2 linked regions of the Drosophila melanogaster genome follow. The protein of the gene in region 2 interacts with the protein of the main gene of each other region in a biochemical or structural test. Each region holds a gene or a part of one and is shown on either strand. Other genes may lie near its edges.

The links. Proteins that work in one complex are often made in the same cells at the same time.
Region 1: the proteins of kon (region 2) and inaD form a complex in vitro, tested with the Drosophila melanogaster proteins (one study listed by BioGRID).

What each region holds. Positions count from the first base shown.
Region 1 is NT_033778.4:22,855,149-22,860,729, forward strand, and holds inaD (inactivation no afterpotential D), read right to left. Parts: upstream 3,647-5,581; 5' UTR 3,451-3,646; coding exon 3,414-3,450; intron 3,064-3,413; coding exon 2,453-3,063; intron 2,399-2,452; coding exon 2,308-2,398; intron 2,246-2,307; coding exon 1,890-2,245; intron 1,826-1,889; coding exon 1,601-1,825; intron 1,542-1,600; coding exon 1,430-1,541; intron 1,373-1,429; coding exon 1,233-1,372; intron 1,173-1,232; coding exon 876-1,172; intron 806-875; coding exon 614-805; 3' UTR 540-613; downstream 1-539. Other genes in the region: RpL23 (ribosomal protein L23), read left to right, coding at 297-494. UniProt on the Drosophila melanogaster protein: Involved in the negative feedback regulation of the light-activated signaling cascade in photoreceptors through a calcium-mediated process.
Region 2 is NT_033779.5:18,500,942-18,505,915, forward strand, and holds the start of kon (kon-tiki), read right to left. Parts: upstream 3,038-4,974; 5' UTR 2,872-3,037; intron 497-2,871; 5' UTR 1-496.

The sequences.
Region 1 (5,581 bases), on a different chromosome or scaffold from region 2:
TAATATAGATAGATTTGTATTAGACGTGGAAGGTTTCTCCTTACGCTTCCAATAAATTTTCCCCACATGTTTTGTGCCGGCTAAGATAGCTTATCGCACCAAACTCACGTTTTTAATATTTTTGTTTATTGATAAGAATTTAAAATTGTAGTGAAGAAGGTTTATAAAACGGTTTCACTGCACTTCTCATAATTCCCCCACCTATAACAACGCACTTTTGCATAACTAACCGATGCAGCAGGAGGTTTGCACACTGCCGAGCAACTTTGCTAACTACTATTTTCATTTGTTTCCAGGTCATGCCTGCCGTGGTTATTCGGCAGCGCAAACCGTTCAGGAGGAGGGACGGGGTGTTTATATACTTTGAGGACAATGCCGGGGTAATAGTAAACAACAAGGGCGAAATGAAGGGCTCGGCCATCACTGGACCGGTGGCCAAGGAATGCGCCGATCTGTGGCCCCGTATTGCATCCAATGCAAGCTCTATAGCCTAAGGAGTTTCCTTTTCAATAAACCCACAACGGAAAACAGATTGTTTTGAATTCGAATTGTTGGTTCTTTTATTGAATTGCTGCACTGCTTCGCTACCGGAGGAGGAGAATGAGGATCGTCTCTAGGCCTTGGGTGCCTCCGTACGTAGAGTGGGCTTGGGTCGTGTCACTTCCATCGATACCTTGCCGTTGGCTCCCTTGAACAAGGCGTAGCACACCTGGAACGGAAGACCCTCCAAGGCATCGCCATTGAATTTGGTGATAATATCGCCGCGCTGCAGTTTGCTGTCTATCTCCGGGTATTGTCCTTGAATCTGTCGAGAAAGTAGTTACTTAGGGTTGAGCCTTCCTACCACTGTATACCAGTGGTGTATGTGCACTCACCAAGTCCGCGATGGTACATCCAATTTCGTTGGGAGAAAGCGACAGGCCCAGCTCCTTGCCTGCTTTTTTCATAAGGTCAACGTTAAACTTTTCCAGCTCCGGAGGATCAGCGCGGAAGACCGTTAGGGTGACCGCTTTCTCGTATGTGGTGTGGAATAACTGATGGACCTTCAGTGTCGTCATGGATCCCACGTGGATTGGCGTACCATTTATATCGCAAATGTGGTCAAAGATCTTGAGGCGCTTGTCGGCTGCCACTTGTCCCTCCGGATAAACGTGGGTGATTACACAGCCAGTCTGTCAGGGAAAAGTTGTTTAAGGTACTTCTTGCAGAAACAGAAAGTTCAGATAGCCCACCGTGACATGGTTGTTCTTGCCGCCGCAGACGATGACGCCCATTGGCTTCTTTTCCACCTTCAACTCAATGAGTATCTTTTTGTTCGGCTTGATCTCGGCTGTGGCGGGTTCCTGTGGCTTTTCCTCCTCTTTCTTGGCCTCTGTGAGTTATCGGGATGAAGATGTCAGTTTTGAACTTGCTTGGACGCAATACCTACCCTCCTTCTTTTTCTCTTCCGCCGCCTTCTCAGCCTTTATCGCCTCCTCGCTCTTGAGAGTCAATAGAATCATGGTCACTACGCCCTCGGCACGTTTAAGCAGTCCAGTAGCCTGAAGTGGATATGAAATGGTTTTAAACTAAGTGGTTGGAGGGCTTCCTGACGACTCACATCATCGTAGTTGGATTCCAGTGTTACATCCTGATTAACGGCCAGCAGCATGTCGCCCACTTTCACGCCCGCCAACTCGGCATTCGATCCCTCTCTCAGATCCGAGATGAAAATGCCACTTCCCACCTCAGCGTGCTTGCCATAGATGACCATGATGCCCAGGAAACCCTCCTTGCGCACCTGCACCGTGCGCGCCTTGGGAAACTGGTCGAAGATAAACTTAGTCTGGAATAGAAGGGAAGGACATTTTATCGCAGGATCCATCCGAAAAGAAGTGAAAAGTACGGACCTCATCAGACGCGGTGGGGAACTTCTTGATGGGCTTGACGCACATGCCCTCATCGTTGGGCTTGCGTCGCGAGGTGATCATCACGAGCTTATCCCCATCCACGTTCTTGAACACGGCGGAAGCGTTCAAGTGGCAGCGATTCTTCAGCACATTGCCGTTGACCTCGACGATCTCGTCGCCCGGTTTGATGTCCACGCTACCCAATGCTCCGTTGGGATCCACACCGGCAACAAAGCAGGCCATCTTCTGGCGGTCCTTGTGGCCAGCGAGTGCGAGTCCCAGTGGCTTGCTGGCGTCCCTCTGGACCTCGATCCTGCGCAGATCCTTCATCATGTTGTACCGCTTGTTGATCTTAGCTGGGAATGGCATTCACGTGCTGTGTGACTGACATTTTTTAATGGCTTCAATTGAGTCTTACCCATCGTGTAGCCAAATTCATCTTCCTGCTCCTTGTCGCGATCCTTTTCCTGCTTGTTGAGTTTGCAATTACCGGCGGATGCTCGATCGATCTAAGGTACTTATAAGTTAGTAGAGCGATGGGTGGCGACCTTGGGTTAACCCACCTCATAACCCGCCTCCGTGCGAATGCGACCGGTCATGTCCCGGGTGTCCTCGTCATCCTCGTCGGCGTAGTTACTATGCTTCTGACGCATCGAGGCCGTGAATGTGGTATTCCGCTTCTGCATCGATTGCTGCCGGTTCATGCCAGCCATTCCCTGACCCTGACCCTGACCTTGCCCCATTCCCTGACCTCCGGACGCATTGTTGTTGGTGGTCTGCTCCTGGTTGAACTTGTTCTTGGCCTGCATGTAGCCATTGCTCCGCGGATCTGACTTGGCCTGCTGCTCATCGCTCTTGTCGAAGGTCTGAATCTCCAGTTCGATCTTGAAGTCCGCCTCCTTGATGAGATCGATGACCGCCTGTTCGGTGGAGTTGCGCACATCCTTTCCGTTGAGCGAGAGGATCCGATCGCCAACCTTTAGGCGACCACACAGATGCGCGGGACTGTCGGGCACAATGCCCTTGATGAAGATGCCGGTGGTCTTGGTGTTGGGCGAATCCTTCACCTCGCCGCGCACTATGCAGATGCCGAAGGACTTCTTGCCCGTCTTGTCCAGGGTCACCATGTGAATGAGCTCTGGGAAAGGATTGTGCATTCCAAATGAAATAAAAACTATTTACAACGTATTGTTAAAGTACGACTAAGACAAATGTGAAGCTATTACTAATAAATATTTATTGGGGTCCTTATCCCACTTGGTATCCTTTCGCAAAATAATTTTCACCAATATTGTATAATCGTTTATATAAATGTTAAGGTTAAGTTCATTACATAAACATATTTCTCACAGGATTCTTAAGAATCAATAAAGTCAATTGAATTGGCTTTTGTTCAAATTTTGTTTTATTTGATTCATAAAACACAAAACGAGTATTGAGTGACCTTTGGAAGGTCAAGTTCTTTCGGGACTAGCTGCAAATTTGATTAGCAGTTGGTCATGAAACCACTCAATGGACACTGACCACCCGCGGTGCCCTGTTTGCCCAGGAACTGAACCATCCTCGCTGCTTGAGATCGACTGCTCCGTAATCCTAGCCAAAAACTCGCGACTCACTGACCGGACATTAAGCGCACCGAATTAAGCTCAAATGTAATATCGAATATTTATTGTTATGGGTTTTCACTTAATTATTATTTGTGAATATTCCGCGTTGGCTGCGCCCGATTTGAGTCCATTGAAAAGTGCGCCTAAACTGATTTTACAATTAGCGGGCGAACATTCTTGCTAACTGACTTAGTGGCCATTCTATTTTGAGTATGATTTTCGTATCGATTACACTGGTCAGCAGGGTTGATCTTAGAGTACCAGATGCATGTAGTTCATACATATATGCTAAGACACTTTCACAAACTTTCCTTCTAAAGAATGCTTGAGTAAAAGAAAAATTCTACTAATAATAATGAAAATGTTTCGTATCTTGAGATTACCCATTAAAATATTACCTTGCAGTACAGTGCTATCGATTCGGAGGAGGTGCCTCCAATGAATTGAGTAACTTTCACTGTCTGTTATGACACCACTCACAAAACACCCAGCTCCCCGAAGACGGCCATTATATGGGTTACCATCGCGGATGTGAAGGCTAGGGGAAAATGGATACCCATGTACCTTTATTGGCCCTATCAAGTTATTAATTTGTTGGTACGATTTGGCCCGTGCTGAACTCAACACTCCGCCAGGAGAAGCCCACCAAGTGTTGACCAGCAATGCCCATCGATTTTATATTTTTCTTTCATTGCACTTACAACTGAATAACATATGTCTCACACACTTTTACCTGGGCGAGAGCTTCTATATCGGCACTGCAAATAACAACAATTTGTGGGGGACATTTTTAAAACATATAATATCCTTAATAAAAAAACAATAATAAAATGCGCACAAAATACCGAAGAATAAAGAGTAAATAAATATAAAATGTAAGGTGACAATGATATGATATTGAATATGAACTGTATATATTCAGTATCAATAATATAGCCCCAAAAAGTAGGCAACAATTTCAATGCGAATTGGTAAGGATTGCTGGGGAACTTCTGAACCAGACACAAGCGGTAATCAAATAAAACTTTCAAGATTTTTATCTTTCGAGTGGCAAATAAATTTAATTTGTCTGCCGAGCTTAAATTCATAATCAAGATTTGCATTTTAATGCCTTTGTCGGGGGGAAAGGCGGTATGAAAAAAGGAAACTGGAGGCAGGGAAGGGAGAATATGACTATGCAAACATTTCCCGAACATTGCCCGAACGGAATGAAACGAAAGTGGAATGGCTAAGGCAGCTCCAAAGGAAAACTAGAGTAAACACATGCTCAAAGGAGCTGGGCGCAAAATGGGGTTTAAACTGGAAAATGGCGAACCCAACGGAGAGTGGGAGTGAGAGCGATGGGAGTGGAACGTCAACGACTGCGAAACGATGCTGGAAATTAATTTCATAATAAAAAAGCGTAAGGAAACCCATTTGATAAAACAATTTCCTTTTTGCCTCCCAACAGTCATGTTTTGTTAGTAAAGTAAATTCAAAAGAGAGCACAGCGAAAATATGGCAATGAGCTTAACGCTGCCGCCCCCTTTTCCACCTCTTCCCCCAGCCCCGCCCCGCTCTCTCCTCGTCCCTTGCAGCCTCTGCCGCTGCCGACGTCGCTGTTCGCAAGACCTCGCCCTCCGATTGGCTCTCTGGCCGCAGGCCACGCCCCTGCAATGGCTGCTTTGTGCCGTGTCCTTTTCGGCTGTTCCGCTCTCTGTTTCTCTCTCTCCTTCTCTCTCTCTCTCTCTCTGTCCGCTCCTGCAGAAGTCGTGCTGCTGCGGCGCAGTCGGCGCATGGTTGTTGCGGGGATTTAGTTAACTGAAGTGATTTTCCACTGTTGGCTGTCACACAGGCAAACACACTCACACACATACACCCACTCGTCCTTATGTAAGTGGCCACACGTGTCTGTGTGTGTGTGTGTGTGTGTGTGTGTGCAGGCGAATCCGTTGTTGACTTGTTCTCGTGTTGTACTTACATGCAGTTATATCAAATTGCTAATAATCGTTTAGCAGGCACTTCAGACTGCGTCCTGGAAATGAATAAAAATTACAGTTTTCTGCGCCAAAACACTTGAGGCAACGATTCGGATTTGGAATAATA
Region 2 (4,974 bases):
CGCTTCGTTCGTTTTCGTCTTTGTTTTTCGTCTTTAATAATTTTGCGTGTTAATTGATTTTTCATGGGGCCACGCATCCGTCGTCGTCTTCGTAGTCTGGGGGCCTCATAAAAATAGCATCATCGGGGGCATCGAGACATCGGAACATTGAGGTTTCCTCTCTAACAGCGGCACAGCATCACGTCCTGGCCCGCTGGCCACATAGACAGATGCTGCATATCATTTCGTTGACAGAAGTCATGCAGGAAGGGGAATCACCTCGAACGTTGCCACCGACTGACTGGCTGACTGACTGACTGACTGACTGTCGCACTAGCTTCCTTTGAAGCGTCTGCTCCTCTTTACTTCCTCGCCCCTTTGAACACACACTTTGCAGCCAACTTTCGCCCGATTACGTTTCAATTTCGTTCGAGTTTTATCATAAACACATTGGACACTGACGACTGATGCGACTAGTCGTTTATTTGTTATTTCTCTTGGCAACTGCTTCACTTCACTGTAATTGGAAATAGATTTATGGGCATTACGCATTTGCTTTCCTTTTTATTTAAATTTTCACTGGTATTTATATGGCACGTTTTATGCATTTATAATTGGTCAGTTGGGTAAATGACATCTACTAGATTTGAACATTAGGTATTTATTAATAATATAATGGAAAATGATTATCACTACTCCATTAAAACTTTATAATAATTTTTCAATCCAGTTATTTAATGAATTCATTCGCTGACTCGGCCATGTTTATTTTCATTGATTTTATGCTCAATTTGATTTTATATTCCTCGGTTATTATATACAGCTTCCACTTGAGTCATTCATTTGCTATTTTAATTGCCATAGATTTTAAGCCAAACAAATCTCAAATAAATTCAAGTACCCGGGACCCCGATGCTTTGGGGTTACTTATGAAGCTACGTATGTATACCATTGATTAGCGTATCTACAGATACTTTATGGAGACTTAATTGAGTTGCTGCCGCAGCAAGCTGAGGCACGACTATGCTCCTCCACTTCAGTGGAAATTGCTGCACAGTTGAGTAAAATTTATTGTATTTTTTCGGTGGTGACGGAGTGGGGGGATCACCCATAAAAAGTGGCCTTAAGTGGCCGGACAGCTTAAGCTCTTTCCCAGCAATACGAGGGATTTGGTCTTATATGAAGTGGAATTTCTAGTTCAAAATTTTGCAACACCAGTCAAAGTTCATGGGCCTTGTTTCGGTACGGTAGCCGAGAAGTGTTCATAGGCCCAAAATAGGCACTCTTTCAAGTTTAGAATGCAAATCGAGAGGGACTTGTAATTTCGAAGGGAGACGTCCCCAGAGGAAAAGTCAACTTCGGGCGACGCCGAAACGTCAACAACTGTGACTGGAAAATGAATTATTTACGCCGGGGGTATCTAAAAATACTGCGCCAGACTCTGTTATGTTTATGCATTTATTTCCCAAGGCAAACTGCAGCACGAAACTGCGGCAGGTTCGACATCATGAGGTCAATTGCACAGATACTGCCTCCAGGAATATCAGTCGTGGTGTCTTGCATTCTCGTTAAGTTCGCTCTGCTAATTCAGCTTGTTAATTTTTATATGCACCGCCCAAGTTCTTGTCGTTCCGAATACTTTTATAGCCCGTCGCAGCAGTCAAAATACAATTTGAAACGCCTTGCCGCTGCAGACGACACCGAAACCGAAAAAATAAAGTGACAATCGCCAGGGTGCATTTTATGACAGACGCGTGTTCCCTCTTTCCGACCAAACTTTTTCTCCCCATTAACATAAAAATTAATAAATGTATCTACCGGATAGTCGGAATCTGCCAGCTGCCGCTACAAGCACTTTGGGAAAGTTCTTTCATACTAGTTTATATTTTTTATGGCAATTAAAAATTGGTGGCACACAAGCTTTTGTGAAAACAAAAGGCCAACAAAATACCGCTCTTACCGAATCTAAAAATTGATTTGATAAGCCATGAAAACGGCGTTTTCATTTGGAAAATTGGTAGGCGTCGCTACCCACGCCGATTTGTACGCTTTCCTAACTCAACAAGAGACCTCCAAGGTGTGCGGACTTTTCCTACTCCATCTCAGTTGCAGTCGTTGATTTAGTCACACTCTTTTCGGGCACTCTGATTTATGATCGCCGAGTACTGCGATTGATGAATGGAGTTGTGCTCTGGTGCGATTTCAGCACCATATGTCACAAATATGAATTTTATTGGTGCATATATCCACGGGCGGAGTCAAATGGGTACAGTTTAAATTTTGGGCAATCTTTTAGCAAAAGGAAAATTTTAAATAATTTTAAACTTTTTTCTTATGGGATTGGGTATATTTAGTTATTATTCAACTTTTTTTTGATACTTGAATGATTCTTGAATGTCATTTTCAAGATTATTAATTTGAATTAAATTTAATTCAAATATTTTTTTAGTTGGCACACAGTTTCTGTTTTTCACATTGGGTTTTCGGCAATTATTTTTATTTTCCCAATTTTGATTCATTCATTTTCTCGACTTTCTGTCCGCGATTTCAGCACCTCATTTTTCACACTCTGTATGCCTTAAAATTAAATGATTTATATTTTGCCTAGCTGCTTCTGCACACAGTTTTCGTTTACTTCCGTTGAGATCACTGACTTTGTTTGACTTAGCCCTTTGGCAATTTTCACAGAATCATCAGAATGGGCGGTATTCACGGTCAATTTGCAAAGTTCTGTATCTTTTCGTATTTTAAGATTTATCTACCAAACGCACAACAACAAACGCTTTCATTCACAATGAGTTTTCAGCCGGAATTCTTGACAGAACAGTGCCGACCGTAAAAATGGGGAGGAAAGCCAGAAACTTAAAAATAAATTAAGTTTCTATTTCTTACACATATCCACTGGCCCACTCACGTTTGGAAAAACTCTGAAGGGGCGTGCGGTCAGAGTTTTCGGCGTTTTCCGATTGCCGCCACCCGCGCCAAGAACCAACCGAATTTCCCGCTTTCCGATAAGCAAACGAACCGAACACGCCGACGATTTCTCACAGACTGAGCCGAGAGGAAAGAAAATTCCGCACGCAGTAGTGCGCTCGCTCGAAGTGCCCAATGAGCCCCGGACCAGACCCCATGGTTCCCGTTCCCTGAAAGGCCGCCGATGCCTCCGATGTCGATTTGGTGCCACCACTCCATGGCGCACCCGCGAGTGACTTTTGTGCGCTCTGCGAACGCGCGAACGCAAACGCGAACGCGGCCCAATATGTATCTCTATCTAGATAGCAGTGATGAGCTGCCCGCTCGCGCAGCCAAGGGATGCGAAAGGGATACGTCTGGGAATCAACTGGCTGATCGGAATGAATCATCAACATTAAGGACTTTATAAAAAACTCATTTAAGGATGTTATCTTAGAGAAGACACCATTGTAAGTGTACGTTTTAGTCAGAGACACCACTTAAAGTTTCAGTATGTAGTAAGCATGGCTTTCACAATTATTTGCATTTCTTCAGCAGAAAACGAATTTGCATTGTCGTCATGATAAAATAGTAAACTTTTTACTACTACACAATTGGCCCTGGAATAAGATAAGATATAAGAGGTACTCACTTACTCATAACCAATATAATTTTTTCCAGGACTATACACAATTTAAAACTTACTCTCTATATGGTTCTGTGTGTCATTTATTCTTGGTACTACAAGTGAATCATTGCTGGTAAAGTGAACACCACGCACAATTTTTGGCATCATTAATTCTATACTATATGATTCTCTGAAAAACCATTCACCCGTTTTCCAAATTTGAAAGACTCTGTGCTCATCACTGATACACCGCTGATGACACTCTGTTGTTCGGCTGCTCATTTTCATTGCTGGTTGCTCTCCCCGTTTTCCCCCCTTTTCCTTTTCATTTTCATTTTCCTGTGCAGCACGCGAAAATACGCGGATTGAGCAATTGCGAGCGCCAAGAGGCTGAGGACTTGAAATTTTTCAATTTGTTTAGCGGTGCTTGGACGCTGCTCTCTGATGATCTTCATCTTCATTGTGGATAGCAGGGGTCCCATACATGGTAAAAAATGTCCAATTATTGTATAAATTGTCGAAGAAAGTTTAGGGAAATGATGTACTTAACCAAATATTAAATCATAGTTATTCTTCCAAGGTTTTCACACAATAAAAATATTGTATTGCTTATAAAAGACTAGATATAAGTCCAATTATGACAGTGATTTTTCTTTCGGTGCACCCACACATGTGGCTTCAATTTGGCTGGGCCATCGTCTTTGCCTTCGACTCTGCCACATGTTGTTTGCCTTTCTCTGGATGTCTCTGGATGCCGAGTGATAAAAATCTCTACCATTTTTCATCAGCCTATTAAGTTACATAAGTCACACGGTCCCTGCTTGTTGTTATGCCCACCGTCTGCCCTGTTGTGTAAATATCCTTTTGGCGTGCTAATGAACCCTTTGACACCAGGAACCAGCAAACGGCGACCCGCACCCAGCGATCATTCGACCTCCCTGACGGCTCTCAAAAATTCCTACTGACAGCAGATGCCACATAAATCAGGCGCTGCGAATGAAGAATTCGCCGTGGTCAGCTCATTAATAAATTAAGTGCATAAAATCACACAAAATCACCTAGGGAAACTCCTAAACCAGCTAGTGCACCGAAAAAAGTCAATCGTTTTGACGAAAGATTAACTTTTTGAATCGGTCTTAATAAGATATGATTTGTCAAATTAAAATAATTACGTTGAAAGCATAAGTGGTAGTGGCTCCTTAATTGTGGGCTCTATTTTGATTTTAAGCTGATTTCAAAATAATTTACACTGTTTGATTTGGGGTATATCGAATTTTTCCCAGTGTGCCTTCTATTATTCGCCCCCTTTTAGGGCTGAGCAGAGCAACTGCAGCGCGAAAGGAAACCCTTAGGGGCTGTTCCTGATAACGGCGACAGCAACGACTCCATATCACGCACAATTTGTGTTCGGGAAA